3 linked regions of the Lepisosteus oculatus genome follow. The protein of the gene in region 3 purifies or fractionates together with the protein of the main gene of each other region. This does not show direct contact. Links are inferred from orthologs where the notes say so. Each region holds a gene or a part of one and is shown on either strand. Other genes may lie near its edges. The genes, in order: cyfip2, abi2b and wasf2.

What was found.
Region 1: the proteins of wasf2 (region 3) and cyfip2 purify together in Homo sapiens (co-immunoprecipitation; 3 studies listed by BioGRID and IntAct, with this or other methods). This does not show direct contact. The link is inferred for Lepisosteus oculatus from reciprocal best matches to the Homo sapiens genes WASF2 and CYFIP2.
Region 2: the proteins of wasf2 (region 3) and abi2b purify together in Homo sapiens (affinity purification with mass spectrometry; 3 studies listed by BioGRID and IntAct, counting the BioPlex papers as one, with this or other methods). This does not show direct contact. The link is inferred for Lepisosteus oculatus from reciprocal best matches to the Homo sapiens genes WASF2 and ABI2.

What each region holds. Positions count from the first base shown.
Region 1 is NC_090706.1:30,453,198-30,464,855, reverse strand, and holds the start of cyfip2 (cytoplasmic FMR1-interacting protein 2), read right to left. Parts: upstream 4,485-11,658; 5' UTR 4,395-4,484; intron 1-4,394. Other genes in the region: itk (tyrosine-protein kinase ITK/TSK), read right to left, coding at 9,422-9,487, 9,892-10,049, 10,965-11,083, 11,400-11,464. UniProt on the Homo sapiens protein: Involved in T-cell adhesion and p53/TP53-dependent induction of apoptosis. Does not bind RNA. As component of the WAVE1 complex, required for BDNF-NTRK2 endocytic trafficking and signaling from early endosomes.
Region 2 is NC_090707.1:35,004,378-35,014,992, forward strand, and holds the start of abi2b (abl interactor 2), read left to right. Parts: upstream 1-5,144; 5' UTR 5,145-5,265; coding exon 5,266-5,382; intron 5,383-5,484; exon of another isoform or gene 5,485-5,657; intron 5,658-10,615. UniProt on the Homo sapiens protein: Regulator of actin cytoskeleton dynamics underlying cell motility and adhesion. Functions as a component of the WAVE complex, which activates actin nucleating machinery Arp2/3 to drive lamellipodia formation.
Region 3 is NC_090706.1:8,897,175-8,907,952, reverse strand, and holds the start of wasf2 (actin-binding protein WASF2), read right to left. Parts: upstream 5,275-10,778; 5' UTR 5,115-5,274; intron 1-5,114. Other genes in the region: probable methyltransferase-like protein 24, read right to left, coding at 8,225-8,536, 10,243-10,453. UniProt on the Homo sapiens protein: Downstream effector molecule involved in the transmission of signals from tyrosine kinase receptors and small GTPases to the actin cytoskeleton. Promotes formation of actin filaments. Part of the WAVE complex that regulates lamellipodia formation.

The sequences.
Region 1 (11,658 bases), about 22 Mb from region 3:
AGAAACAACTGTCTCTTAGCCATTACAAATTTGCTGAGTCAACAGAACACGTGAAATTGAACAACACTGGTCATTTACAGATTCATCATAACTTTAAAATATATTGTATTATATAATACTATGTTTTACATATTGTGTAATACTTTATCAAGGATTATAGAGTTTGGAAAGTCTAAATGACTTTTAAAATGAATTAAATGTCAACAATACAAATCTCAAAAACCAGAACAAACTACATTATCTGACATAAAAATAGCTAGCCTACATTCAGCACTTTTACTTATTCTTCTGTCTTTTTCTTGCTTTAAAAACTTCCCCTTTTAATATTCAAACACATTCAACTTGCAGCTGTAAAAGGAACAGCAATGAAGTCAACTCATTCAGATTCCTTACACCCTATTTGTTGAGACGTGTGAAACTTGTCGTCACAGGAGTCGTGAAATAATTGTTACAATTTTGATAAAACTTAACAACTGACTTACTACTACAATCCACCATCACACAGGATAGAAATAGCGCTAAAACAAACCTCAGTGCTATGCCACTGTACTTCTTGGATTTTCAGTAATACACGTCACTGTTGTCAGTTGAGGTACAGTAGGAATGTGAGCCTTTATTCAGAGTGATACAATAGTTATTCTTTTTCTGGTTGGCTGCACAGAAGATACTGAAAAAAACTATTTCCTTTTTGAATATTGATAGAATTATGCTACAGTTATGCACTGCCTCACAGGAAATAAACTGTAGCCTTTTTATCAGCATAACACAATTTTCTCAAGCCCTGAACACATGGACATTTTTAGTACATTACCTCCAAATGGGTATATACTCTATATGTGAAAGGGAGTTAAAGTTCATACCTGAACCTCATCTGACCAGACCTCAGCCACTCAGAGGTACAGCAGCATCTCCAGTGGTGAGTTGAACACACAATGTGTCAGTTACGAGTCCAAAAGCTTACCCTCTGCACTGTGCCACCCCCAACATAAAGCAGTTTCCAGTACATGGTTTGCTCTTCTTAACTTTACTTGCAAACTCTGTAACTGCAAACACTAAAGCACATACATTTGCTCATGCCACAGGCAGTCAAAAAAACATTTCACCAAACGAGTTTAGATAACTGAGCACCTGGCTAAGAGCCTCACAGTATTGCTGAGAATAACATTAATAACACCTGTAACAGCAAAATCTTTGTCATCCTACAACATGGATTGCCCAGTTCAAAAATGTAGATAAATGCAAGGGAACACCCAGTATAAAAGCGCAACAGCCATCTATATCAGCAGCTTGAGAGCTGAACAGATAAAAATGTAGTAATTATATTGATCCTCCTAGGTGTGTATCTACTGAAAACTCAGATGAATGACTAACAAAGACTGCTGAGACTGGAAACACTAACAGAGCTAGAAGACTTAAGCTGGCTCACTGAAGAAAGAAAAGTTTTCATCCACACTTACAGTATAATCCAGTACTTTCACAGAACCAGACAAAACCGTACAAAAGAAGAGAACTCCCGAGTAGCTCAAACAGTAAAGCTTCTTGTTTAAGAGTGTAGATGTTGGTGGTTCAGCGATGGACCATGTGATTACCTAGTGAAGGTAGCCAGCAAAGGTATCAGCGTACAACAGCTTCTAGCTGTCAGGCATCTATACTAAAAAAGAAGTGTGGAAAGCCAATTTAGTCACTGATTGACCTAGTACAGTAAATCCTAACTCCCTCTGTCGATTTAGACTGCCTAGATTTAAGTGCAAATGTTCTTTCATTCTTTCATTTTAGATTTTTCATTCCCACAACTACGAACCTGCTCAATTCACACAAAGCAATGGATTGTTACGTTTTATTTCCATCATGTTTGTATCTTACTGAGGTACGGTATCTATTTCACTCACAGATTGTCCAATGTTTTATGTACCTATTTTGGACAGTGAGGATTGCTTCTATTTTTTAATCTTATGGCGTGTATGTTTTTAATTTGTTAATGGACTCATGTTGTTTTAAAAGTACTATGTATTGTGATTGCCTTTTTTATCTGCCTACAGTGCAAATCTCCCATCTGGGTTTATAAAGTAAGTATCCAGGAGATGTGTTGCTCCTCAAATCCGCACTAACTCCTATAAGACACTATAGTATAGTTTCCCAACAGTGGCAAGACCTGAACTTGGCAAAGGGTTTGAAGAGTTCTCAGTCCTTCCAAAGAAAATTTAGGGGACAGAAATCCCACTTGGCTTAGAAAGCCAACAATCTCTGAGCTAAACGCACTTTAGGTTTAATTGAATGTTGCCCTTAATTTGGTCTGAAATGTCATACTTTGCAGACAACTTTTATCTTGTTTATACTGGACGCTAATAAAGCTTTAATTCTCCCTCAAACACTGAGAACTCACCTTATCTGTTTGTTCTCATGTCAAAAGTAAAGACATGGGCATGTGATACTCACACCTGAAACAAAAGTGCTCTCAACCTTTAGAAACTGCAGATTAACTTGTTGGTTATAAACCCGGCTGGACTGAGGCTCTCCACGCCCAGGGTTAGACATACACACTCTACAGTTTGCGTTCTGTTGCAAATAGAAGCAAAAACCATGATACCTCTAAGTCCTAAGCAGAGGTTTGTCAGATTTCTCTTGTGTGCATGCGAGAACACATTCAAACGAGGAACTGATGTAAGAGGATGGTATCTGTTCCCAGGACTGCTGAATTACCTGGGTCTACAAACAATAACTTGTGATTATGCCAAAATAAAACACATCAGTTGTGTTCTAGAGCTGTCTGTAAATTTGGGGTCCTGCTTATTTAAGTGTTATATCACTGCTGGATAGTCCCGTGCTTTATTGCCAAGTCTCCTTGATAGTTTAACTAGGCAATGATTGTGATGGGAAATAATTTCCCCCTTGGTTCCTGTTCCCCGGTTCCCTGGGATACATTCTTAATGAGACACACATGAACACCACATACAGTACATACAATAGGAAAAGAACAATGGTATGACTTCAGAACCATTGCATCAAGCAGTTCCTGTCAAGCTTTGCACCAAGTTAGCAGGTACAGTAGGAAGTTACAGACTTCGAAGTTGCATTTTGGTAGTTCATACTGTACATACAACAAGGATCTGACTTGTGACCAAAACAGTTCAGGAGAAATGTTCCTGGCCACAAAACAGCAAACTTTCCACACAATGGCAGAAGTAAAACACCATTTAGGAGAAGGTGTAAGTCAATTTGATGCAACAAAGAAAGCTTTTAAAAAGCTTATCTTAAAGCACTTATCATTTTTACAACAGACTATGTAATGCTTTCTATGATATATTATAAGGTGTAATAGAGCCCTACCACTGTCTAACACATTTTTCCTTAACAAGTTTTTTTAAAATTAATTCTATACAAATGTAACTCATCTAAATGTTTGCATCATTTTTTTTAATTTTATAAACAAATTTTTAGCAAAGAGTTTCTGCTGTCATAAAAATGATAAAAAACGTTTTTTTTTTCTTTGAAGTCATTGCGTACCGGATTACCAAGCTCCTGGTTACAACATATTTGGATTTGGTTGTGCAAATGGCTGAATGACAACATAACATTTTCACTCAGTTATACGTTATTTAATGTACGTGCCCAAGGTTTGATATTATGCATTATTCAGGTCTAGACTAGGGATCGTGTAGCTACAGTACTTGAATTACTGAGAACAGGGCGTCACGTAGCGTTTGAGGAGATACAAAGTATTTCTTAATGTTCAGGCAGAGTGACTGCAACAGAAACAAATCAACCAGTTGAAACCAGGTAATAATAGAAAATGAGAGACCATGCTTCATGAATATTATTATTCTTAATTTGCATATTTGCTCTAGTTTTTCGATTGCAGAAAAAAATAACTATACGAGGCCTGGCTATTGCAAGCTGCCTGCATGACACCACAGAGATCCTATCAGAACCGCGACATCCAGCTCTGGGTATTCAGGTGGATTTAAAGAGACACGTCGTGTAAAGCGACACAAAATTAAAAATAAAATAAAGCCCAGGTCCATCACTTCAAAATGTATTGAAAACAATAACAGACACCAAATTTGAGTGAATGCAGGTTTAAACTGTAGATAAGGATCGCGACATGAATATAGAGATGTTATGTATTTTTCATCATTTAGAAAAAAAACCCATAATCTATATTTTTCTGAAAACCCGTCATTCGTGAAAAGTAATGCACACATCCGATATCAAGTAAGACATACAGGAATTACAATACCGAGTAGCACACATAGACACAGTTCACCCCACCCAATTAAAAAATACTCGAATGGTAGCTGAGGCTTATGCATTATCACGTTCGAGAGAAAAATCTTCTAGAATACCTAAAGGATAGTAAGGAAAAAATATTTATACTTATCCATAGATTTAGTCACCTGCAAAAAATGTCCACAATTTTTTCTCATATATTACAATTATCTAAATAGCAAAGCCTGTGGTAGCATACAGCATCATGTAACTGCACTAAACCCATTGGCAGGTCTGTGCCATCTCTCTCATCGCGTTTGAACAATATTGATGATAAAGAATTAAATCTTACCTGATGCTCGCATGACCCTTTTTGGCGATGCTGACGGAACGGTTCGCATTTACGCCTCAGACCTGTGTTTTAAAGTGGTGATGTCTCAGTGATGCTCTTGCCTGGCAGAATGCTCATCCGCTAATCCCCGAAACACAAAGAGCAGAAAATGGCTGCAAATGTGTTTCCTTAAAGCTACATGACAGTCAACACAGCAGCAGTCACATCACTGCTCGGCTCCGAAGCGGTTCGCGTTAGCTATATTTAGTGGATGAATGTGCAGGTTGGAAGAGTATTTTTTTTTCATTTAATGTTCTCAGTCCAGTTGTTGATGCATTTAATCTGCCCTTCCCCTCAACATAGAAAGCTCGCGTTATTTTATAAACTGTAGCTATATACAAATTAATATTAATATTGTAGCCGTATGCGTTACAATATCAATCAGCAAGCCAATTCATGGTAACTGAACCATAACCCAGACTGAAATCTGCATTGAGTTTATTCCAACGGCAGCACTTGAATGATAAAACCATCAAATTGTGCAAATGACACTGATGTGTACATAATTTACAGAAGTTATTCCTCTTTCACTTGGAAGCGGGGTTTCAAACCATACAGTATAATACTGCATGATGGAGACTATTTCGGTTATTACATGGCCAAAAAAAATTAAACCAGTTTTTTTTTTTTTGTATCGAGCATATTCATGTCAGGGTTGTCCTGGAGTGTTGAACAAGAAACGTGCGAAGATAAAAAAAGAATAAAAAGTTCTTAGTTTAAAAGCATAACACGAAAAACAGAACAGTAGAAGATAAAAAACGAAACTTAAAGAGAACAACTGACTTCCATGTCTACTGGTCTTCGAAAACGGGTAAGTACTGTAACTGGTATCTGCAGAATGCAAATACTTGGGTTGAACAAACACAAAAAAGTACTAAACCGAACCTCTTATAAATACTGTAGCTCAACGATACCGTTCTAAGATGAACCCAGATTTGATATATAGAACATAAAGAAACCATGACAAGATCAATGTAATTCTAAGAGTTGAGTTTGTTTTAATTCTCATACTGAATTATGTATAGTAAAACCCTTAATTCAAAGAAACACACAAACCCCAATAATGGGAGTGTGGAACATTTATTGGTACGGCTAGGCTTAAACCTGCTTGAGACATCCACGTGGATAAATGTATGAGACCCGCTATATTATAAACCAGATGTTTTCTACATTGGCAGTGGCACTAGGAGGGATGGATACCAATAGGTGATATTGTGACAAACACTATGAAATAGTGACTTAAAGGCCTATTATACCTTACAGTCAGTGATCAGTGGAAAATGGAGTGTGTCCTGTACCATTGTTATGAACTTCAGATAACATTTATTTTCCTAAATATGGATATACAAGATGTGAAATTAACATTTTCCTTCCCCCATCCTTCCCTTATCTCGTGTGGCTGTCCTTGTGCAGGTGGGTCACAGTTAAATTGTAGTGTCTGAAATATATCAAGTCGGGTAAAAAAATAATTTCTAGACATGCCACAAATCAATCTCAGTATCCGTTAACAAAACACAGAGGAGAGTGGTGGTACACTGAGACACAAGTGTCTGTTGTGTTTATAGAAACCAGAAACTTTAAAGTGATTTCTCTCATAATCACTCCTTTTTGGCATATCAACCGTAACCATGGACAATATAACAATACAACACTATAAACAGAGGGTATAACAGAAGATATAAGCAATTTTTGAAAGCTGTCTCACTGAGCCTCACCCTTTTTGGTGCCCCGCCTAATGTAATGATACGTCAGGCAGGACACAGTGAGACATACTGTACCACCTCTGGGACATTAAAGCATCAGACATTTACAGGGAAATGTGAAGCAATGCTCAGATAAGAATAAAACTTTTCATACATGAACATGTATTTTGTCTCTGACCAAATCATGGTAAGTAGATTAGATATCTTGTTATTTAGGTCCACAGTTGTAAAAGAACAATTGTACTACACTAAGTTGATTTTATCGAAAGAATGGCGGTACTGCAATACTGATTAACTTGCGAAATCTTTAATATGTGATAATATGCAAGATGCTTTGGATAAAAATGTTATATACTGGAGCTGCAATTTATTCTTAGAACAATTATTGAAGTAGATCATCCTTGGTTATAGATTTAAGAGAATTATAATGTATTGATTTCAGGCACAATTATTTTAGTGGTTAATAATAGTGAGCATCCTTTGAATTGCATATAACAAAAACTAGCACAGGGTACAAACCTATACAACATGTGTGTCTCACTCTGCTCCTCTGAACTGTATCAACTATGACAAGCCCACCCACTGGGCCTATTATTTTTAAGTGAGGGAGAAAATAAGGTGAAAACATTTAGCTTTTTTAGAGGTAACTCTTAAGACACTTTAGGGTTTCCCTTTCTCACAAACCTTTGTTCTCTTTTGAACAGGACAGTGGAAAAAATATTAGGAATACAAAACTGCCTTATAAATCATGCCTCTTACCTAATTGCTTCCTTTAGTTCCAAAACAAGAAGTTTGGAAGGGCCACTGCAGTTCTACTCTCTAAATGTAAAGACTGGAATATTTTTTAGTGTTTGCGTTTCTCCAGATCTCATTGTGCCCCATCTTCCATTGCACACAATGATTTACTGTTACTTATCTTATGGTGTTAACAGTTTAAAAAGAAACATTACCCATTATTACTGTTACAGTTGTGTTTTTTTAGTAACTGGACTTCACAGCAACTTCTGACACAAACACAAGGAGAAAAATGTAATACATTCCATTTTTTAATTGTTTACTTACAAAATCAAGGTACTTATAGACCAATAAGTAAAGATAACTACTAAAATGTAAAATATTAAAGTGTGTGTTATACTGTATTATCGTGTTCAAATAAGCTGCATGACTGGGTTGATATAGAAAAAATATTTCTTATTCTTTTTACAGATAAGGAGACAATTGAATGTTATACAGAAAGTAGTGCTTTCAGATAAATTAGAAGGAGCATTCAATACATGAAGAAGGTAATATACGGATTAAAAAAATAGGATTTTAAAATTGCACATAGCAACGAATGCAACTAAGCCATTGTTTCCTCCTTAATGGAATTAAAGTAATAAAAACAAAAACCTTTGAATACATTAACAAAGCTAACCTTTTTACACTCTTGGAATAGTTGTGAGAGCTAAAGAATCTCGCACAGACTGAACAATCACATTCACAAGAAAATCAATTACTGCCAATAGATGTCACTCTTTCATATGAACAGACAAATGCTCGCAACGCTAATGGTTAGCACAACAGGCAATTCAGATTTCCCCCCTCTGTTCCTCCTGCCTCCCAAAGGCCTGTTTAACTGGTGCTCTACATGGTCCTTCTGTGAGTCCCGATGGACTGGACTCCCATCTAGAGTGTAGTTCTGCCTTGTACGCTGTCTGTCTGTGTTAGGCTGCAGGTTACCGCAACCTTTACCTATACCAGAAATATGCAGATTTCTGATAGTATCTAAAAATAACTAAAAAAATAATGTAATAAAAATAATGGATGATCAATAGAGTGAGTGTAAGAGTGTCAGTGTGAGATTATCTGTCATCACAGCAGTGTGCCGTTGTAAAGGTTTGAGGGTCTATCAGTGTGTAAGCATCTGTACAAGTGTTAGTGTGACATTATCTGTCAGTGTACCACTTTGTAGCCTGATTAGAAGCTAGGCAATGATGGGACTGACCAACACAGGAATGGAAAATCCCCAGTCCTGCACCTCACACACCAGATAAATCCTTAACTGAACCAGTGACTGTCCTGGTTGTTACCGTTGTAACTATGTTTTCTGGACTGAAAGGTTTGATACCTTAAGTTCCATTTGAAACACAATCATTAAAAGGCAACCTCCTACATGTTTAACAATTCAAAACAACTAAAGAAGTCACATTTATACACCTATAATTTGGTCTGTTAAGGGGTTCAACTGATTGCTCAGCTGGAGCACTCAAATCAGCAGATGTGTGGATCTCCGGGACCAAGGCTGGGAGCTCCTACTCTGAGCAAAACGAACCTGCAGCTGTTGTAGGCTGTGGACCAGCAGGCCAGAGTAACCATCTGACTGAGAATTTAAACCTGGCTCTTAGCTTTATAGTTGTTAAAGCTGCACTGTTTGTAAGAGTAGGTGTTTATGGAAATCATAATTAACTATAGGAAAAATGTAATTAAAATACAAGATGTCAGGATTAAAATATTTCTCAGAACTGAATTTGTACAAGCAAGTAACAAAGATGTAAGGAAGGTTATAAACAATAGGGAGACATTCAGCCCATTTGATACCAAAAGTAGTTAATTATCAAACTACCAATTGTTAATTAGTAGTTAATTGATTGGGGATGTCATCCAGCCATTCCTTGAATGAAACCAGGATATTGGCCTAAACAACATGACTGGATAGCTTGTCATGATAGCCATAAAAAGTCCCATGGTCGATTCTGAAAAAGATTACTGTTAAATTATATTGTAAAGAACACAAATGCAGGATGGTATTTATTAAGCAACCATGTGACAATTTCTGTCAAGGAACAGGTAAAGGTTTAATCCATGCTGAAAAGAGAAGAAAAGAATCAACGTTTCGGCTGTGGACCTTCTTCAAATGAATCTTTACTTGTTCCTTTGCAGCCTACGCATGCTGACGCAGCTCCCCACCTGAACCATTTTTGTTAAGGCCTTGTCTAAGAGCCTTGTAGCTTTTCTGCTTTTGTATGCTACTGCAATGTAAATTTTGGTATCTGAAAAAGCAATAAATACAGTATAAATATATATATATTCTTTTCTTTATACAGTTTATGTCCATTTCATCTGGGCTTCCAACAGCTTAATTTCAGAAATCAGCAATTTCTGCCAGCTGATGGAAGAGAATTGCAAAAGATGGGCGGTCTTCTGGTTTCTAAGGAGAGAATTAAACAAAAACATGAAAAAAAAATGTTTAAAAAGTTTGCATCAGGAGAACTTCTTCTATCCCAACAATAACAGTATAGGTAAAATGAAAAACTCTTTGTTGTGTTGTGAATCTTTTCTTTTTTCACAGCTTAGTCTCTGCACCACAAAATTGCTGATTTTATTTGCTCGAAAAAGAAAACTATCCAGCTTTGTTGCGTCAGTTGCCATAACTAGTGGTGTGAAAGTAACTCTCCCTTGATTCATGTGCGCTCTAAGCCTTGATGCAGAGGTTTGAAATTAAAACAAACATATGAAAACGTATTATTAAAGCAGAATTTAGGTATACTGTATAAGCATATGTGTGTTAGATTTGATTTTCAGTTCATTTACTTGGCTCCTTGTTGCACTGACCTCTTTCCAGCTCCACTCCATCAGCTGATAAATGTCCTCTGAAGCGAGTCTGGGTTTAAGAAGTCGGAGGCCAGATGAAATTGAAGCTACTACCTCTCCGTTTGACTGGTTCTCGTATGGCATCTTGCCCTCACTGTACACCTCCCACATGAGGACCCCTGCAGCAACGCAAAGCCGACGAGACCCTTTAATTCTTTACATTCTTACTGACTTTACAAAAAGACGGACAAGCGCATCATACAGTACATTTCTGCACGCCAGAGAGCTTCAAGCCTTAGCCTTCATTGTGAGTTTGAAGTCATTTGCTGTGGCAACATTAACAGCCTCACTAATAACAGAGGTGAAGAAAGAGTATATATCTGAGTTTATATACATCTTGAAAACTTACAGTTAGTTAAGGCTTTTCTCAACTTCCGTGTGAAGCCCACACTGAGACACATGTCGTATTTTCAGGAACCATCATTTCTGCCTGACTTTCTACGCAATGAAACCCTCTCTTCACATGTGGCGTTAAGTCTAATGCATTCTGATATTGATTGCATACTCTCTTACTTTATCTTCCCAGGGCTTACTGCTGTCAGCAGCCACATTCTGACATACTTTTGTATTTTATTGACATATCACAAATAAGAGGAGGCTATCTGACCTACTGTATCAACCTCATGTGACTGTGTTTACCAGTAACCTCATATCCAGTAACGTACTGTACTGCGAGGAAACTGCTGAATTCCCCTTCGAATCCTTGCCTAAACTAGATAAATGTGACTAAGTAGCTAATCAAACCTAATACATTTGTCACCGGGAGCAGGGAAGAAACCGGAGCACCCAGAAAAATCCCCCCCAATCACAGGAAGAGCAGAATATAGGCGCCTTAAATTGAAATTGAACCCAGGACCCTAAAACTGTGAGACAGGAAACACTCCACACCATACCACTTTTCACTTCATAGCATTATTTTATTCATTAGAACAAACTCATCCAGTGGCTGTCCTGTGTATGTCAGGTGGTGCTATACAATGCTATACCAGGTCACCACATGAAGAATAACTATCTCACTCCGCTTCATTACTTACCAAAGGACCACACGTCTGATTTGCTGCTGAATTTGCAGTATTGGATTACCTCAGGGGCTGACCACTTCACTGGAAACTTAGAGCCATAGGAACTGGTGTACTGGTCATCCAGGACAAACCTAGGAGAAAAAAAAATCTTAAGCTATACACTGCAAAGATTCCATTTCAGAAATACTTTAACACCATATGTCACATACTAGTGCTGAAAAAAACGGGAACCTCAATCAGTCATTGTACAAAAGCATTTCATTGTACTGCAATTTTCTTTAGGTATACAGAACAAACAATTAAGATTTTAACTTACATAAACATATCAGGGCAGTGCAAAACCTTCAACCTTTTGCATTATTCAATTGCTATTACATGATCTTTTTTGTTATATGAATAACAATCTGAATCTCAGACCTTGAACTGAAAAAAACTTCAAATTCATACCTTGCCATACCAAAGTCTGAGACTTTTACCACTTGATTCTCTCCAACCAAACAGTTTCTTGCAGCCTGAAAGAGAGAATATTACTGAATTCCACTAAGGTTCAGTTTTAAGCAGTGTTTATGTAGTTAGATAAAGCTTTGATATGTTTGTAAACTAAATCTAAAACAACATACAACAATTTTTGTTAGTGAAACAAGAAAAAAAAAGTTTGACACACAATTGTTAAATATAATCTATATGCTGAGTGCTTTGGTGTAGA
Region 2 (10,615 bases), on a different chromosome or scaffold from region 3:
TTTTTTGGAATGATGTATGATAACTCCCTTCTTCCGGTGTGAAATGGATGGAACAATAAGCACCGAATGTCAGCGAATGCTGATAAATAAGTTGTGAATTTGCTTCCAGTTGGAGAAGGAAATCTTTTTTAAAAGGTCGACCATTGTGGCTTGTGCTGTGTTTATAAAATAAAAATGTCCTGTCCGTACACACAATAAAAACATATAACTGTTACAGCAGCCCAAACCAACTTACATGTGAGAATGACTCAGAAATGGTAAAAATAAGGAAATGATTCCTACTATGTGGTGGGCTTCATCCTCCTCTGTGCTCCAAATGAGGGTTAATGCCATCACATTGAAATGGTGCTTTGTCATTCCATTTGCTTGTCACATTTTTTATTCATTACAGACCACATAGCAATGACTAACAATGTGTCAGCAGGGAAACGGCATCTGTTTACTCCACCAACACTACCAAGCGCTTCCCAGGTAAACTTGAAGTGACAAGCTTTCAGCCTTTTTATCAATATGAATGAAATATTTAACTATGTGACACATGAAGATTGTTTTCCAGTCATTTCATGGTCCAGCAACAAATTCCCCATAGTCTTCAAGGATAATTAGCACATAGTTACCATATTCTCTTAGTAAGTGTTCTGCCAATAATTCTTTCTTGGTTACCCTCAGATGTTTGATTTTTCTATTACTTTTTCAGGCAAATTAAATCCGCAAAACATTTTTTTTTCAGATCTCTCCAATAAAATGGATACTGAGAAGCTTGGTAAATTTTGAATTAGTGTGTCAAATGGACAGATGCAGTAGCTAATTGAGAAAAAGAGATGATACAGTATATGTGTAGAATTGTCCCCCAGGCACAGAGCCGTGAAAATCTACTGACTGTGTATACCTCTCCTTACCTTATCTATGAACTCAGCAACATCAAAGCAGTTCTCTCTCAACAAACAACTGTGCGATGAAATGAAATGTACCTCTTGGCAGTATCCGTTAGGGTGCTGGAACACTACATTCTGATTGTAGAGAATTAATGGAGCAGAAAAAAAGATGGTGTCACTGGAAAAAATAAAACTGCATCTTCATGTGTGTGCTTTAGGTGATAGTTTGATGCATTTGTGAAAGCTAAGAAAAACACTAAAACAGAAATAAAATGCTGTTGCTAATGGGAGAGTTTGACACATGAGGTCTCCACTACTACCATATGATTAGTTTATAATTATGTTATAATTATTTTACTACTAATATTATTATTAGTTTAGACTGATAAACGTGGTTTAACTCAGATAACCAGACATTGCTTGTTAAGTATTCACTCATTTTACACTGGGACACCCCATTTACATCTCATTTATTAATACCCCTGTACTTCTGTAGTACCACAAGAAGTCTCATGGTTGCCTCAGGAAGGTGTACAGGAAAGAACTATTTGCCATTTGTGTGCTGTGAAAACTCACACGTGTGAATGCTCACATGACACTGGGAGACCCTAAGCTTCTCCATTTGTGCATCAAACCAAGGACATCCAACCAAAGAGGCATTCAGCCAGTGTGCACAGCTGTTTGGGATCAGCCTAGGAACAGTGGTGCACACTGTCTCTATGTCTATGCATCACTCTGGTCCAAAGAGACAGCATTGTCTGGTAAGTGTTGTAGCAGACCCTAATGCCAGTATTAATTAATCTCTAATTAAAATGCAAACAAAAATGCAATGTTGAATAATTAAAATTAACTTTAAAGCAGAACTTTAGGTCCAAATATCACTGTAGCTGAGAGAATGCTCATTTTACAAACAGATGGGCTTGGGGAGGAAGTCTTTTGTTTCTGTGAGTTAACCCAGGATCCTTCGATACAGACAAGCTGTCCCTGTAGCTACTCCTGGAGCTACCCATTGCCCCAGGAAAAACCACCAGTGTAAAATGAAGCAGTAAATGCCACTTAATTAAAATTTAATCCATACAGCACTGCATATTAATTTAATGTTAAATGAGACATTCATGCCTTCAAATAATATTTAACTAAAACCAATAGTCATTTTAATAAGAGAGTGTAAACAATGACAAATGTGACCATATACAGTATAAAAAAGTGATTACATGTCTGAGTTTCTTTATATTCTACTAAGAGTCAGCTTAGGGCCAAGTGTTAACAAAATTCACTTTTCCTGACAAATGCATGTTGTGTCTTTTATGTTAGTTGTTTATGTTGTAGTGAAAGGAATAAAGCACGATTTAACATTTATTTTCTGGAATGTCCAGAGAAGAGCATCCAGGTGGATTAACAGACTTGGCACTGGCTAAAGCAATGAGTTTTTTGTTTGAATGTTTGAACAGAGAATAATGTGCCTGATCCTGGTCCCAGTTTTCACAATCCTCAAAAGAAGTGACAAACTCAACCCACTGGACTTGTGAAACATAAATCGGAGGACCCAGCACAAGTTAAAACTCTGTGGGAGTGCATTGAAAACTGACAAAAAGAGGCTGTTCTTTGCACAAAGGGCTGTTGGAGTATGGAACGAGCAAATGTAAGTGTGAGTTCACAGCAATCCTTTATTTTTCAGATGCGAAGGCCAGGTTTATTAACCATGTTAAGTTGCTGAGACAGAGTCAGTGATTCCGAAATGTGTTCTTGGTAGGTTCATTGGAAACTGACTGGAGCAAGGTAGTTAAAAGCAGCTTGCTAATTATTAAAGAATTAACTAATTTAACACTGTCTCATCAATTTATAGGCCATAAGCCAATTGGAAAGAATACATTTTTAGAAGAGAGGCCTGAGAGTCCCTTATTTTTATATTTTGATGACCATACAGCAGTTCTTGTACCTAAAGAGACATAGGCTAAATGTCCCTTTGTCTGATTAAAATAAGACCTTTTTTATTTGCAGAGGAAAAGTGTCTCTTTAGCTCTGGGCTGCAAAAATGCAGTTTTCCTTGTCCAGGTTTTTAAAGTGAAAACCAAAAAAGCAATTCAGTTGCACACTCCCTCCATGACTTTAGCTTATATTTACTCCCTTTTTATGTTCTTTTGTCTTATTCGAAACTACATTTTTTTTGCAGACAGGAGGAATGCTACAGATGAGATGCGGAATCTGATTAGATGCCACACGAAAACCTGCCTGTCTACATAATCAGAAGAGTGAGCTGGTGTCCTGTATTACTTTAAATAAAATTGAGAAAAGTAAAACAGAAATAAGTCATTTTAAGCTAAACTTTAAGCTTCTTCAAACCAACCTTGAAGTCGAATGCAAGCTTATTCTCCATAATAGTAAGGCAGAAAAGTTCTGAGACATTTTCCTAAGAAAACAGCAGAGTCGGAGAATGTTTGTTAGACATGAATCTGGACACAACTGAAATGGCCTCAAATTTGATTTGTCTAAAACTGTATTTAGCAGTCAGCAAAAGGGAATATGGCATTTGGTTCTCAGCAATGAAGACTTGACTGTAAACTAATTCTGCCAAATTACCTGAAGAACAGTTTGAGCATTTCTATTTTTTTGCAATCCAAAGACAACAGATGAAACTCCACAATTTTCCAGCAACAGTTCATACCTGAAAAAAAAAACGGATTATTTTTTTTAATTGTTTGCAGAAGATCATATTTCTGATTTTCCACAACGGCTGTTTCTGTGATGCTACGTGTAAATCGAAATAGTACCTCTGTACTTTTTTCACTGTGCTTAAACCAAAAATTGCCGGGTATACAGATTTTCTTATACAGTTTATTCGGTTTTAAATTCTGATATTATAGTTTATAGTGTAAGTAAAGCCACAGAAAGAATGTAGCATGAAGGGCTTAAAACTGTGAGGAAAGTACGAATGGATGTCAACAAAAGAAGCAGCTCCCTCTACTGGTCCTCCAGCATTATTAGGCAATGATTATCAAAATACTCAACCGTGCTCATATAATAATAATAATAATTGCTTACACTTATATAGCGCTTTTCTGGACACTCCACTCAAAGCGCTTTACAGGTAATGGGGACTCCCCTCGACCACCACCATTCATAGACCTACCTGTATCATCTTAGTAAACGTTTCCATCAATGTATCACCAATTAGTTTTAATAAAGCAACTAAACTAGGAGAAATGTATCAGCTTTTCTAGCACTATTCTATTTTCACCTTAACCTTTGATTTGCATCAACAAAAAGGCTGATAGTGTAACGAAAGGAGTCAAGCCTCTCCAAGCAACACACACCTTTCATTTTCTCAGCCAGCTTCAACACAATAAATTGTTCTGAGGTGTGTGAGTGCTTAAATCCTGTGTTAAACATGCCAGGACATGCTTATTTGGAAAAGGCATTGACTCAAGGTGTGACTCATGTTGCTCTAGATAACCCCTATGACATTAAAGATTAATTGGTGCACAGTAATGACAGCATACAACATACTGTGCTATCTCTTGCACAAGTGGCTGAATGAAAGATGGGAAAGAAACATTCATCTCTTAAAACTACCAAAACGCATCTTCATCAATGAAACCAGAATTTAAAGGATAAGGTCCACATTTTGACCTCCAAATACTATGACCCCTTATTCATATTGCCTTAGGCTGCCGGTAATCATGGCTTCTCGTTCTCTTTAGTTTTGTAAGTTATTTCTAATGAAGAAGGGGAAGATACAATACTAGGAACAGTTATTGATAACTGGGTCTACAACAGGCAATTTTTTTTACAACATCCCACAAAAGATTGGACTAGCTGATAAAGCCAGATTAGGCTTCAATGTGCATCTACAGTATGCTACTGCAGGGCCACACATTCTCAGTTAAAACCATAAATGAATGATAAAAATGATGTACGTACAACTGTTGCCATCTTTCAACAGCCAAGGCTTTGAATTGCAATGAACAAATGCAAAGTTATTCAAAAGCTTCTGCGAATATAACGCTGGAACGGGGTATGATAATATGTTTCGTTCCAGTTTCCTCCAAACAGTTATAAACCTCTAAGAAATGTGAAGATAAATGACACAAAATCATTGAGTACAACGGTGATTGTGATTTGTGTGTCTCTATTAGGATGGGTAGCAAAAACACCACTTTTTATTAGCGTCTTAAAACCTCTGTGGATGCAAACCTATTTATATTTCACGTCATTTAACAGGTGACAGCACACACTTAAGTGTCAAACTTCCTGACATCGTTCTCCTCGCTCCCTCCCAAAAAACCTTCTCCAGTTGAGTAACTACACCTTTCCCACATCGGAGGAGAGGAAGTTGTATGCCTCCCTGCTTCCTGTGTTGCCAGCGCTTCAGTGTGTTAAAGATGTAAAGATGGCGGAGCTACAGATGCTTTTGGAAGAAGAAATTCCGGCAGGACGGAGAGCTTTGCTCGATAGTTACACCAACCTCGAAAGAGTCGCAGATTACTGCGAAAACAACTACATACAGGTAAGTTGGAGTGGGTTTTCGGTAAACGGGCTGGCGTTGAGAGGCGAGCGACCTGTCTCGGGTTGGAAAAGGCTGTGGAAAACGAGAGGAGGGATATTGCTGATGCTCTCATGTTGTGCTCCCCTTTGCGATGTTTTGCTCAAGTCCAGATTACAGCTCTTTCCTTTGCTGCAGAGGTTTTTGGACCCATTCGGTGTGTTTGCATTGACATATGTTCAGTTTCCAGGAATGCGGGTGTAGTTTGAGGAATGTAGTGCTTGTGGTGAAGACGTGTGGTAAGTGTGTATGGATGCGTACGGTGGGGGTTGAACATTTGAAACGGACTGGGAATGATTCAGTAAGTTGTAACACGATAAAGTAAAAACTGATATAAATCAGAACGTTAAATATCTAGATTCGTATAGATTTTGGAGGAAAAAAAACTCCCCTATTAGGAAGCATATGCCAGATGCAGGGATATACAGGGAGCGTCAGTATCAGCGTAAACCTGTAAAAATGTCTCTTTAAATAGTTTTTTTAAAGTTCAAATTGAAATCAATAAAGATCAAAAAGTGCATAGCTACTGGAACATTTTTTTTTTCTGCCGAGTTATGTGTGCATGGCGGCACGGTGTTATTTAATAAACAGGTTTGTCATCTGTCAATCATGGCTTGCTTGATGCGGTGGTGTGTTATTTTCTAGGAGGGTGTCTTGGAATAAACTGCCAGCATGCAGGATGTAGAAGATCATACTATAGGTTTAAAGAGTGGCAGCCCCAGCCTTGCATTTCAAACGCACGCAGCACAGAAAAGAAATAACTTGGTTTCGCTGCATTTTGCAAAGAGATATCGCGTCCGTTTTGGTGGAACGGAGAGTTTAAAACAACCCAGTGCATCTGATCATGATTACAGTCCGGTGATTAATACATTGAAGCCGAAATCTGTGACTAGCCAGACCATTTTTGACCCCCCACTTGCGGGTGATGAGAAACAAATGGGGATTTTAGACGTTTATTTTGCTCCGGAGTTGATCATCTGTGCCTTTGAAGTTGCGATATTGTGATGTCGGCGACGCTTGCGAGCTGTTTCGAGTTGCGGTAGATGTATTTTTTAAAAATTTACTGTAGTAGTAGTAGCAGCAGCAGCAGCATCTTTAAAAAAATTGCCATCGATGAGGTCAGCTGCTACATAATCAAATACCTCTTGCCTCCTGGTGTTTGCCGCGATGGTCGCTAATTGAAAACTATAAATATAAATCAACCGAGGGTTCACTTTTCGGTGACCTGAACGCACTAGAATAAAACGTTCTCAGCCCGAATCAAGTATTTATGCCAACTGTATTTATGTTACATTGTTTTTTATTTCTGTCGAATTAAGGGGTTGACCTCTCTGACACAAAATGCCCTCGGGGTCTTGCTCGACAGCATTACACAAATTCGTCGGATTTTAGAAAAGCTAATCTGATGTCTTTTTGAAGAACATTTTAATGTGATTGCTGGTGAGCTAAGCATATTAATCGGGTCCCGGCTGTGATTGGTTTTTAAGGTGACTGAGCAGTATCAATAATTTGTTTTCCCCCGGGAATATGGGTTGTGACGCAACGGCGTGTCAGAAAACCCACACGTATCGGTTGATATACAAAATACGTCTATTAAAAATATCAAGTATCGTATTTGATTGTGCATGCACAATCGCGCGTGCTAGATTTTTCTCGTTTTCTTTCAAGGGTTAATTTCCAACAGGAAGGATTTCAGATTGTGCATAAATGCATGAAGGGGTTATACGCTTTTCAGTTTTTACACATAAATGTGAATTGTAATGGTTATTCGACGAGGGACGCGGTTTCATTATCTTGATATTGAACACTTTGGGTTCTGTGTCTGTATTTACATGGTTATAGGCGAGTCTTGGCTCTAATGAACACAATTTAAAGTTAATTTGATAATAATCCACAATTTTACTCCTTTTTATCAGCCCCAGTTTCTAAACAGCAATATGACTTTCTCCCCTATGTTACTTAACTTTAACGTTAAAATACCACTCCAGTAATGTGTGTGGTTAATTAAGGTAAATGGACGCTTTAACATCATTGTTTGGGTAGACGGGAAATTTTAAAAGGCAGTTTGCCACAAAGCCCCCATGATTTCGCTTTAGTTCTTGCGTTTCGTTTGTGATTTTGTTGCTGGAGACAGGACCCTCAAAATTGTCATTTTTCCCTGAAACCAAAGAGGGACTGGTTCAAAACTCATAGCTGCCTTTACCCATGGCTGAGTGCTTTATCTGGATGCAAGGGTACAAAGCAATGTCCACAGCTTAATCTCCTGTGTCTTGAACCTCCTTCTCTGCCATCCTGAAAATAGCCCATTTGAACTTTTTTTTGTCCCTTTCTCCTCAAGGGACTTGTGTTATCAAGGAATGTGGAAGCTATTCCGAAGGTTGATTCCCGATTTGCACCGGAGTCAGAAGTGCTGAAGGGTCTGTCGTGGGCAACGTTGAATTAAGCGCTCGTGAGAGAATGTGATCTTAAAACAGTTGGTCCCGTGTGCCATAATTTACAGCGATTTGTGTTTTGTAATAAAGGGAGGATGTGTTTCTTTTCTCAGCATTGTAGCGGGGGTTTGTGTAATGTTGGGCAAAAGACAAAAATATGTAGACACAAAGCATCCCATTATGGTATTTATATACAGATTGTAGATGTGGCATGTATATAATTTTCCTTGTGAGGTAAGCTTCGTAGGATGGAACATCTGTCTGTTTCAGTTTCTTTAGTCTCTGTGGGGAAATTGCTGGGAAGGTTGGACATGACACAGGCTGTGCACATGAATGTTCATGAGTCAGGAGTCTGCCGTGTAGGAACATGGAGCTCGGAGGTGACCCTTTTTTCCCCGAGACAGGGCCGTCATTTTCAAATTGAGTATAACTCTGAAAACAATTACAAAGAAAATACCGACTCGAAATTCATTTTAAGGACTGCTGAAAAGAGGAGCTGCTGACATTGCTTGTGAGAAAGCCTTGGTTTTCATCTGGAGGCATTTTGCGTGTGGCATCTTGGTGTGTGGTGTGTAAATATCAGTAATTAATAGATAGCTTCATTAAACATTTGCCTTTCTCTGGGTTCTTAAATTCAGTGTTACAGTGGCTTTGTTTTTCAGGATCTGCATCAACACTTCTCTGTTTCATGAATTGAAGAAATGCCAGACTTAGGACAGTTGGTGCTGCATTAATACCCTAACGTAGGGTCCACTTACAGTCCTTTCTGGCTGAAATTCCTATTTCCTGGGTTTAAAGGTAGTTAAATATCTATAATCTATATGTGGCAAATAATGGAAATCACAACCCCGTATTCAGCTTCATCAGCTTTGGCAGTTATTTTTTTGTAGAGCGTGCAGACTTCTTACCTTGCCTTAAGATGTCCATAACTGGTTAATACTTTCCAATATCCACACTTTCAAGTTAAGGGTTTATTACCTATCAAGAGAAATACAGCTGAATATTGGGGGTGAAAATAATTCTCTTTTGTTCATTGAAAAGACATCTCACCACACATGGTGTTTCTTGGCAAGAACACTGAAACAAATGTAACATGGTCTCTGAGATTTTTTGAGGGAGGTTGTAGTACTGATAGAGGAGTATAGGATGTATGTTTTTTAGTATTTGTCTAACACTGATAAATTAGCCAAAGCTTAGAGTCATCTCTTACCGTCAGCATAGGGCTTACTTAAATTTGGAGACGGGACCTATCGGTAGTCATGTTTTGATTTGCATTAAGAGGCACACACGGTTCTGTTTAATATTCCGCGTACCTCACACATGTACCCTGGTCTTGAAGATCACAATCTCTAGCTGTTGGTTTTGTGCAAAGAATTATTTCAAAGAGAGACACCTGTGTGAAATCCAATTTTGCTTTAGTTGGCGCTGTCTTTTTTTTTTAAACGAGAAAATTCCGGTTCTCATTAACTTCAGCCCAGAGAGCGCTGAGCTTTGCATTTGGCGAGACGTCCTAAACAATACAGGATCCAGATTAAAGCCCTGGGTTAAGCACGCAGACTCTCAGCTCCGTTGTGCACAGGTGTCAGCTCTGTCTGCTCTCCCCTCTTCCCCCTCAGTCAGTCAATCGGCTTTGCACACCACTAAGCGGCACAGCAGTTGTAATAAGTGCAGCTACAGTAGTGCTGACTGAATATCTGTAGGGACAGTGCAGCTTCTCCTGTTCGGAGCTGGTGGCAGCCAGTGTGAAGGCTCCACTGGCCTGTGACGCATCTCAGGTTTTTTTTAAGTTGGATGTTTTTTAACTCGTTGTTGGTGTTGCTGTTCTCTGGTGATGTTTTTGGTGTTTCCTTAATGTCTCTGGATTGGAGCAGACAGGCAAATAAACGTTTCATTGCACACGTGCGTACGACAATACACTGAACTGGCGTCAGGAGCTTCGGTGTCTCAGCGTTTCTTTTCCCGTGCTGGAGACGTTCAGGGTTTTAAAATCCAAATGATGGGCTTCTGCGCCACAGGGTTTCCTCTGTGACTCCTCATAGACCTCATCCCAAGGGAGGCGGTTCTGTGCCATGGCCTTGTCTAGCTGTATCCTGTCAGCAAGCATTGGCAAGAGAGTCTCATACTGATTCCTACAGGAAAAAAAAAAAACTTCATCTGCTGGTGTGCTTATCTGAGCTGTAATTGCCTGTAATACTCGCCTTTAGTAATTGCTAGCAGGTGATTGCCAATCATTTCTTTCATTTCATCTGTTTTATTTTTCTACCTGCCCTCTCTCCCTCACGCTTGAAGAAAGATCTGTGGCCCGTACATCGCTTCTTTTCTTTACCTTCCAGTAGGGCTGGGCGATAATTCGATAACGATAATTATCGTGATATAATTTTAACAAAAGTTCGATATATGTTTGTGCTTTGCGCATGCGCACAAAATTCTGCGCGAGGGCAGCTAACGTGGTGGTGTTTACCCTGACAGGATTGTAGTTTGAGTGGAGAAATGAGCGGCACTGAAGCGAATGTAGTGCTGCCAACGACCAGCTCGAAGGACGATGACATCGTCGACAGAAAAGGTTATTCAACTTCGGTAATTTGGAGATATTTTGGCTTTTTACGATCAGACATAAAACAGAGCACTTTAAACTTTGCAGTCTGTCTGAGCCATCTTCTATGTGTGTTTTATCACACTGCAGTATTTAATTTTTCTATTAAGATATTTATTTTGTAAATTTTACTCATGCATATTTTGACATAAACAAAGACTTGAATGCTCTC
Region 3 (10,778 bases):
AACCCTAAAGAAATGCTTTTTAATTTCTACAGTATTCTGGTTTGTTTTTTAAAATACTTGTATCAGGTCCCCTCAGAGCCACTGTATAGTACTTAAGACATGCAGTTCCTTTAAAAGTTCCATGCAAGATACTTAAGACCAGAAATTAACCCCCATTTCATATGTACTATCGAGAACTGAACTTAAACTCTTACTTCCCTTCTCCACTTCCTGAAAATTAGCCTGAAGCACTCCTTTAAAAGCCGTTTTCAAAGTAACTGCAACAAAGCAACAGGGCTAAACATATGATAAAACTTACCAAGGATCACATGGGAAAATAGTGTACACAATTTATCATTAAGAAAATAAGCAATTTATAATACTCAGACAAACAATTTAAGGATCTAAACTGGTAGGAAATGTTGTTGTACAGTAGATCACTCAATCTCGACATTGAACTATCACTAAAAATTAACTCAGTTACACAGAATAAACTGTGCATTTATGTAAAGCATCCAAACGGCTACAGCCCTCACCTTCCAAGGTGATGGTACAGAAACAGCATGACTGCATGACTGCAGCTTCATGTCAGCTCAGCGGTACATCAGTGTGCACAGCTCTACACGGCTTAGGTGTGAACAAGCTGTTAGCCTTGCTTGTCTTTGGAGCCTTGTTTACCGAGACAGCCTAAGTGACATGGAGGCCATTTTAATGGCCTGATTAATCTGTACAGCACATAAAGGAATTCTCTTTCTGAAGCTTACAGGTTTCAATTCTTTGTCCTTCTCAGCTACATATCTTATTTTCATTCTAACAGTAATTTCCATTTAGTTCCAAGACTGGACAATCCTGACTACTACATCCTGGTATATAAGAATATCAACTCACAAATCCTTCCTCGTAAATACACTTCAGCTCCTCCTAAACTAAAACCATTCCAAAGACTCATTATGTGTAGCTCTGTAAAAGATGTTTATTATTCTGGTGAATACTTAAATATATTCTGTTACTTTTGTAATAAATGTCTTGCTCACAAGGAAATGGAAAAATGAGAAAATATCTCCATCATGTGGAAACATACATCAGGCCTGCACTATAATTATCTGTGAAGTGCGCCTAACTGATTTGCCCAACAGGCGCCTCGTCAGGAGGCACTCGTGCTGTGGGCTGGTCATCAGGTGGGCGTGTGACGGAGTGAGTCAAATAGGGACGCGTTCACCAGTTCCCCACACGTTGCAGACTCTGTCACACTGAGTCACTCTGATTCTGCTCACACTTGTGAAGGCAGCTGTTCAACCCTAGCGCCGCCATAACTCCTTCTGCAGCCTTTCTGCCAGCACTGCAGCTCCAGCTGCCCCAGGCCAGCAAATGGTAAAAAAAACAAGCAACTGGAACGTCTAAAAAAAAAAAAAGGATTTTTAAAGGCACGGGCCTCGCATTTTACTCCAGTGCTGCATGCACATACTGTACACTCTTTTACAGAGAGAGGCAATGGCTCTTTGAAACTACCATCTGAATGAATACATTTCTTATTAAACACATTATAATAATTTAATCAATGGTGCATTTTCAAAGTTGAACACTACTTCACCCTTTCACGTTACAACAGAGTTCAAATAAGGGGTGACAATACTCATGTAAACCGCTCTAAAGATACAGGGTATGCTACGCATTTCAATGTGCTGCATATGTCTTTGTATATACAGTATCAGTGTCCAACTTAATGACTTCAGGTGCAATTTTGTATTTGGTAACAAAAGTGGGATAAAACTAGAGCCTTTCCTGCCTTAAACCCCTCTTGTAGCTTGCAAAGACAAGATGATATTTATATCTAACGGAAAACAAATGTATGCACATTCTCACTTTAAAACCATAGAAACTAGCGTCAGTACAATTAATATTTTAAGCTGATATTATTATTGAGGGTGGCAGTAAGCACAGCTGCTTCATGGCTCTTGGGTCCTGGCTAGACTGGGATGTCATTATTGTGACGTTTGCATGCTCACCCTGTGACCACATGGGTTAGTCTTAGGTAGAAACCAGAGCACCCAATCTTCCAAAGACATACTGTATTAGTGAGGTTAACTGGGATCTCCGAATTGTACCCTTGTGCTTGGACATGGACGCGTGTGCCTTGTGATGGACTGGATTCCTGCCTTTGGTATGGTCCTGCCTTTTGACCTATTCGTTCAAGACTGGCTCCAGGTTATCACAGGACCCTCAACAGGAATAAGAGGCTTCTAATACTGGTGGATGAATATTATAAAGATTTCCTCATCTGGAATCTGCCTATGCTGAGGCCTGTAGACTGTATATAAAACTGGAAAATGAAAACAATGTGGGAGATCAGCCATGTACACATGCTGCCATTTCCAAAATGAAATCAGAGAAGAACCAGCTGCTAAACATTTGCCATCCTAGCTGGGACCCTAAAATTGAAACTTCCTAAACACAAACTAGGAAAGACAGAAATATGTGACATCAGGTGGGGTACCACATTAACATATTGATTCATGCTATCAGGTACCATCTACCGGCAAATGAAAGAGCTCGTCTCAGGCATTTGCCTGGCTGGCTTGAGGAGATTAAGACAGACTTTGTTCACCTTCTCACAGTCTTGCTGAAAACCGGTGGAGCCTGTGAAAAGGTGCAGTTCAGCCCCACACTTCAAGACAAGGCAATCCTGCTGGAAGAATGGGAAAGGACTGGGCTGCAAGAATTTCAAAACCTGGTGGAATACAAGTCACATCCTGCTCAAGCTGGTCTAGTGGCTCCCCGAGGTCGATCAGATTAGTCACTGGTGTTTCTATCACTAGGGCCGGCAAATATTTACCTATCTTTACTAAAACCCACTAACACCACAGCAGACCTTAACTTGTAATTATCCAAATTATTATAAAGCTGCATAGATGAGCATAGGATGGCTGCCTACAGCTGCCACTTGCATTTCACAGCCAATCTATTCTAATACACATACCCATTTTCAGGACAGAAATTCAAAGAATCGACATTTCATGCACATAAAAAAAGATTAACCATTTAGCAACAAATTTTAAAAATAGAAAAGTTAGTTCTATAATAAACTATAAACCATGTTACTACAGTTTTATTCAGAGGTAACATCCTATAGGAGTACCCCACAATGGGCTCTGTGCACAATAACCTCTTTTCAAGAAAATGTTGGCATATCTAAACACAAAATGAATGGGAGGTGTCAATTTTATTATAATGCCAATATTGTCCTACTAGCTATTTTCTGATTGCTGCATGCAATTCAGGGTCACGAGGGGAGAGCGAGTGCCTATCCCAACAAGCAGCGGACACAAGGCAGGGCGCACTCTGAACGGGACATCAGTCCATCCCGGGGAACACACAGCCCCAAACAGACATGCACACACTCCTACCAGAGCCACTGTTCCCAGGAGCCAGGTGACCAAACACCATGTCTCTGGACTGTGTGAGGATACCCACACCAAGACACGGAGGACCTACAAACTCACACGGACAGCACCCCAGGGCCCGAACCCAGGGCCCCATGGCAATACTGGCCACAGCAGCAACAGGCTGCCCAGGGCCGGTATTCATTATATAAAAATAAATAGATCTGCAGATCCACAGATATATGTTGACGGTGGACAAACACTGTACTGTGCTGAAGAGTTTTGATTTTTAGGCACTGCTTGGATTGAAAAGTTCCTTCGATTTCTGGGGATCCTCTGCAGGGTTGCTCAGAGTTTCAGCGTTCCTGCTAGGGGGTCCCAGAAATATTTGGTTGAAAGAACCCCCCTGTGAGAAATCCAGTATGTGTTTACAGGAGTCCACATTTAGCAAGTAAATATCACACTTGCATTGACTAATTGCACCAACAATTGGTTTATTATCGTGACAGCTGGGAAGGAGTGACAACCACAGGATGCTTCAGCATTACAGGGATGGGACTGGAGACCTCTGCAGTAGTAAAAGCAGTAAGACATCACATCTATAATTACTTGTCAAAAACACTTCAGAATTTGTATTAGTTATTATTGCAGCTTTCCCTGCTTGGGTTCTGGATAGTTTAGTCTTAAAAGCATTTAATCCTTTTTCACAGCAAGTCAAAACAACTCATCCGCTTACTTAAATAGCACATGGTATTGTCAGGCTAGCTTTTCGGTCTTCTTTTCGATTATTGTGTTTCTAATCACTATTAAACCCTGGCCCGGAGTGTACAAGAACAATGATTATCCTCACTCTCAGAAAACCCACATGAATTACGAGTTTTACGCCAATGTCTATTGAAATTGTTCATAAACCTTCCCCTTTCGAGTAATCAACCATTAGTCTCCAGTACTGTAGTAGGCTTTGTAATCTTCAACGGAGCAAAACACAAATTGTGTTTACCAGGCAGTACTTATCAATTTCTAATTTGGTCGTTATAACGGACTATTTTCTGTGTTGGGATTTATCTTCGTCAGGTAAAGGGGGATGTATCCAAAAATTTCAAAGCGAATAAAAAAAATACAAATAAAATTATTATTCCTAATGACAATATAGTGCATAGGTAACGGATAAATCACCTGTACCTCGCACTACAGTGGGCTTCGTAGGTATCCACTAAAGTGAAGTCTACTTATTAAACACTTCCAGGATAGTTATCAAGGCCTATCACGGTTTCCTTTTTTGAACCATTGCCTCATTCAAAGTTCAGACACCGTTTCTTTCAGAAAAGTTTTCTTTTACGTTTCACATATCGTAAAGAACATTCAACTCAATCAGTAAAACGAATCGCTGCAAGTAAATCGCATTTTTATAAGGCAGTTCGATGCCGCAGTGAGCTGCGAAAATTAAATGTGTGGTTTTATCGTCAGTGATACTTCATACGATCTACGTAATCCCGGATTTTAACAACTTTATTTTCTTTCCACATCACTGAATTGTCTTTCTTCGTCCCGCGGATCACTAAAAACACTTTTTCGAAGGGTTTCTTGTCAACTTCATGGCTCCCAATTTAGCAGGAAGTAAAGTGAAACCACCCATAATTAAACTCAAGCAACTACAGTAGACTACCGACACAATGTTGCAGACACGAAGCAACATTGTCTTTTTACTCATAACTCCCCCATACCAGAAAGTATTTAAAAACGTAGCACTCATACCGTAAAGGAAAAGAGGGTCCGAGAAAACGATCCTTTCTGCTCTCACATAAGGCTTTTACCAGCCATCATCTCAACTCGCTTGAAGTTTTCCTAAAAAGAAAATGTCTAGATTTGATAGCTGCTTCAACTGTAAAACCGATTAAGCAGAACTACGCCAAGGCCCCGCCTACGCATACTTGTGATTGGACCGCGGCGAGGATACTGGGAATTGATTCGCTCTCACTCACGTCAGTTTCAGTTCAAGGAGGACCATGAAAACTTGGACGTAAAATGCGTAACTCCACCCGAGAGAGGAGTAAACATCTGTAGGGTTTTACCGGCTTCGATCGAAGAGGATTCGGGGGAAGATAATGATGGACTGAAGCGTCCATGTAATTTAGCTTTTTGGGGGTCAGTTCACGAAGACGTGCGTTAATAGCATTGAATGGGAGGAGATCGTTGCCCTGTATCGCGTTTTCTCTGAGTTCTGTATTTCTGAGGAGGCGTTGTGCATTCCTCAGCCCGGTCTGACGCAATGAACGACTTCTGAGGGAGTGCCCGTCGGGGACACGGAAACCTACAGTATATGCCTGCGTAGTGTGTTATAATGATGTCACGTAATATTTGCATCACTGTAATCAAATGCAAACGTGACTTAATCGGTCTTGGCTGATAGACCGTCTTTTAAAATCAGCATTACTTGTCTCCGTGCTCTTTTGCAGCTGTTCACGAACAACAGCGATTTACTGACTGGCTATCCTGCCCAATATTATAACGTTTTTAAAAATGTTAAGAAGAATCTTTAATTCAGCTTTTTGTTTAATAATTGTACCCATCAATCACGTGATGACGTGTTTAATTTGGGAGGGCCTTATTGTGTGTTCTTGAAAAGAGGTTTTCGTGCACATAGTCCATTACATGGTACTGCTGTATAATATGAGGAATAAACCTGATGTTTCATGGTCCAAGAATTAGTAAACAAAAAATCCTACTTACATTAATAACAAAAAAATAAACTGTTACAGAACAGTTTGTCTACTGTGTCAAGAATGCATGAAACAAGAACTCGGATGTTATACAATGTCATTTTATCAATCCCTAATTCAATCACAGAACAATATTGTTTTAAAAGATAAAGGTCATTCCACTCTGGACTTCAGATTATTTTATGTGAATCAGTTCTTCTCTAAATTGCTCCGCATTCTCACTGTTTCCAGGACTTGAGTCATTGATGATTTTGCGTTACCTGTAATTACCTGGGTGACTGCAGCCCCCTGGGCGCAGGAGTGAGTGTCACTGGTCGAAAGGCTTGAAGACAATGTAACGCTTTTGCAGACAAGTTTGTATCAATCCTATGTTTCTAGTTTAGCTTGGGATTTGTGTCTTCCTACAGTACTGTACGTCTCACACTGTGCTTGCTTCTCTGTGCTGCAACGCGTAAGGGTTGTGTGTTTGTGTGCTCCCTGCTCGCAGGCTAGGGTGTTCCCTCCTCGTTGTCGTGTTTCCTTTATGAGTGTTTATTCCTCCTCAGAGGCTTCAGCGATCATGGACATTTTTATTCCCTCGCGGTCCTTCCCCGAGGAAGACTCCCACGTCCACGTCGACTTCGGCGAACATGAGGAACCTCAGAAAAACTAAAGCGACAGCAGACTGAACCCTGAACGGACATCTTGCTAAGACTTTATAATCATGTTTTTTTTTTATTTCCCAAGTAATATACAAAAAAACTTACACAAAAGGTGCCAAAGACAGAAAAGAACAACAACAACAAAAAAACAACAACAACGCACAAAGTTTTAAAAAATTAGAGCTTTTTTTTCCCGACGGCAAGCGATGTCTTCCATTAAGCAGGGGATTCCTGTCCGAGTTTACAGTACCAGAAAACAAGTCCCATTTCCTTTTTAATCTATTACCAGTAGAGGGCATCTAGATTACACATCTCCAATTACATTACTTAAGCAACAAAGCTTTACATTGTCTAAATATCACAATATTAAGGTTTAGGATACACTGGTCGGAAGTGAGAACAACCTGGAAGCAGAACAAATTCTTAGTGTCCACGTTGTCAACTTTCTATTGCCTTTAGCGCCTTCACTCGTCATGAGTGCTTGTCACCAAATGTAAATATGAAAATTAAAACAGCTTGAATGGGATATAGCCATATTTCTCCATAGTACCCTTTTACAATATTTCCAGTAGTTTTATTAAAACATGACACAGGAGACTGTATCCTTCGATTTACTTCACAGTTCCTAATTTGAAACAGTTTCACTTCCGGTCTTAAACACTTAAAACTTTGAATCAGGGGTCACCAGCTTGTGCAAAACATATAAGTATATACCCTTGTATGTTCCTTTATTCTCACAGTGCAATACCAGATTTTGGTACAATGACAAAATAGATAAGCAGTAGGTAGTCACTAAATGTTTAGATTGTTTTCTATTCTGCAGTATAGAACTGTGATATGGTTGTGATAAAGCAATGAAAATGCCTGTGTGCAAATATTTGTAGCGTTTTTATAGACTGTATGTAAATTGTTTTAAAAACCATTTGAAATAATGTGTAAAAATAAAGTATTGATTTTGATTGTTCTTTTAGTTGTTGTAGCATTTCTTATTTAAATACTTTAATTGTTTATTTTGTGGTTCTTTCTTTGCCATTATGTAAAAGTGGCTGTTGATCATATGCTAATTAATCACGAATCAAAATTAAGGTTCACTGATCCACTCAGCACTGACTCCAGTCAGTGTTGCCTCTTCACCATTCTGGAGAGACAATGTGCATTTTGACGGAGGTGCAGCCCTTGATCTACATGTTAAATCACATGTCCCAAAATCTATCCAAAGCACATAGAGGCCTATGGCAGGGGTTCCCAGTCCTGGTCCCAGTGGCCCAACACCAGGCAAGCTCTTGCAATCATGCAATCAAACCTTTATTTGACTTCCTAATAGGATTAATTCAAAGTTTCTGGCTGTTTTTCAGCCCCTAAACATGCATTTTGCATTTCTCAAGTATAACTTTAAATTAAACCAAAAAGCCTGTGAGTAAGAACTTGTTTGAAGGAAAACTCCAAAGACACTGTTCCTGCCAGACCAGGATTAGGAAGCACTGCGCTGGAGAACAACGTGTGCTTAATAGCTCCACCTCGTGTTGACCCAGCTCAGCATGTAGCTGCTGCTGGCATTGGGCAGCGCATGGTGCAGTATGGCCTGGCCAGGCCCCCTGGCACTGTGCAGCAGGCGATACCCGCTTGTGTGCAGCTCCTTCATCAGGCTGTACCAGAACCGCACAACCTCTGCGTCGCTGCCCCCCACCTCAAACCCGGCCCACTGTAAGTGCACTGTCAGAACCAGCTGCTGGATCTGCGTGAGGGTGCCATCCAGAACCCAGCTCTCCACAATCCTCCACTCGGCGCTCTCCAGGTCCGCTTGGACAATCTCCACCTGATCCGAAAAGAGAGAGAGAGCGTAGGAATGTGATGCAAGAGATGGAAAGAGCACACATGTGGATAGGAAATAAACATGTGAAAAATAGGATGAACATATATATTTTCGGACAGCAATGACAAAGTGGTTGACCTTCCACTTAGTCTCCAGGTATACACAACAAGTTGCTGAAGAAGACTGCACTACAACAGCACCCTCTAGGAGACACAGTGTCTCTCTGCTGCAATGCCAGAATTCTGTCTTTGCACCAGCCTGGGCTTTCTTTACAAATGCAGAGTCTCTGTTCGCCCCAGGGAGCAGGATGTGAAGACCATAACCTCCCTGAGCCCTAAAATCCCACACAAAACATTCATGCTGGGATATTCTTACAGAGAGAGTGCTCTGCTTGCGGCCTTGCGCAGAGCAGGTGGGAGACTTTTGAACATCAGGAAGGGCGAAAGGAGCTGATGAATTTCTGTGCTGATACACAGCACACTTATCGGGCATATTCTTTTTGACCTGTGTTGCGTAGATGAAGCACGACACATAAAAGCTGCTGACATGAACTGAACCAGTTTTCTACAGACACACGGAGAAACTTTCACGGGCTGGCGCGTAATATCCTGTCCACTTATGAATGCCTTGCAAAAGCAACATTCAGACATAACAAACTGTAAATACTATAAAGGAACAAGTAATAGGTTTATTCCATGCTGAAAAGAGAAGAAAGAAAACACAACGTTTCAGTCGTGTCACCTGAAGAAGGCTCCACGGCCGAAACGTTGTTTTCTTTCTTCTCTTTTTAGCATGGAATAAACCTATTCCTTGTTCCTTTGCAGCCTACGCGTGCTGACACAACTACCCACCTGAACTACTGTAAATACTATATGTACAGTTGCACAACTGCAGTATTGATGTCCATCACTTGAAACAATCTGAACAGCTAATTCACTTGTTTTTTAAGTAAGTGATAGAGTGCTACTGGGAAGCCTCTGCTTGGATGTTGGATACCACTACAGGTCTTCCGTGGTCTGAGCCAAAAGCATGGGTGCTAACAGAAGCTCAGTTCATCTGCCACAAGGTGGAGCTCTTTGAGAGACGCACATTTACTGTGAATTTGTCTTTTTTTTTCTGGTAAGGTTCCACTAATTAAAATGTTTTGGGTTTTTTTTTATGACTGTATAATACACACGTATTCATTTGCATATGTTAAGATGTTTCCTTATTATAATTCATCTGGACATTTACCAGACGTAAGTGTACAATTAGTTCCGGTAGGCAGCTGCGTCAGCATGTGTAGCCTGCAAAGGAACAAGTAAAAGTTTAATCCATGCTGAAAAGAGAAGAAAAGAAACTTTCTTCTCTTTTCAGCTTGGAATAAACCTTTGTTTGTTCCCTTGTAACTGTACAATTACTGGCGGTTGACTGGGAAGCTTTTGGAGGCTGGAATCAATAAACCACGATTAATTCTGAGGGTTGTCTGGATCCCACACAAGTTATAATTGTGGACCCATCATGCCCTCCTTCTATAGAGTAGAATGTTAAAGGGCTAAAGCTGGTATATGTATGAAATGGTGTAAAATGTCATTCACATTTAAGCTGTTCAATGTTCCATCAGGTGTCTATGCCAAAATCTGACCACCCAAATTGAAAACTGATTGGCTGAAGACACTTCATTGATTTGTTCATAGGGTTTTCTCTTTTCCCTGAAAAGGCTTTAATACCATTCTGTGGCCCAGCATCTGCATGATGGCACTGAGTTTCCTGGGTGTGGCCTTTCTGTGCCCCGTCCTGGGATTGCGCCAGTCTAACCACATCTGGTGGTGCTGTACTCGTTCCTGGGTCTGTCGGGACTTTCTGCCTGGATCAAACTGATGGACCTCACAGCCCAGTGATGCCATGCTGGACACAAACTCCTCATCCTTCTGGTCCATGCTGGGAGGGAGAGAACACAGTCACTGAACTGTTGCTCCAAACAATCTACTTAATATAGGAGAAGGGGGGATCTACACCAGTTTGCACTAGAGGGCTGAAGCCACAAGAAAACATCAACTTGGTATAACACCAATCCATTAACACAGTGCTAGCTCTGACTTGTTAAAAGCAATAGCCAACATTTAAATACACCAAAGTGCTGATTCTTACAAACACCAAAAAAGCATTTTAGTTTTAGCACGGCAGGTAGCAGTAATGTTAAGGCACCTGGCTCCACCTCACTAATATCTTTAAGCCTGCACTCGGTCAGTATGTGGAGAATATA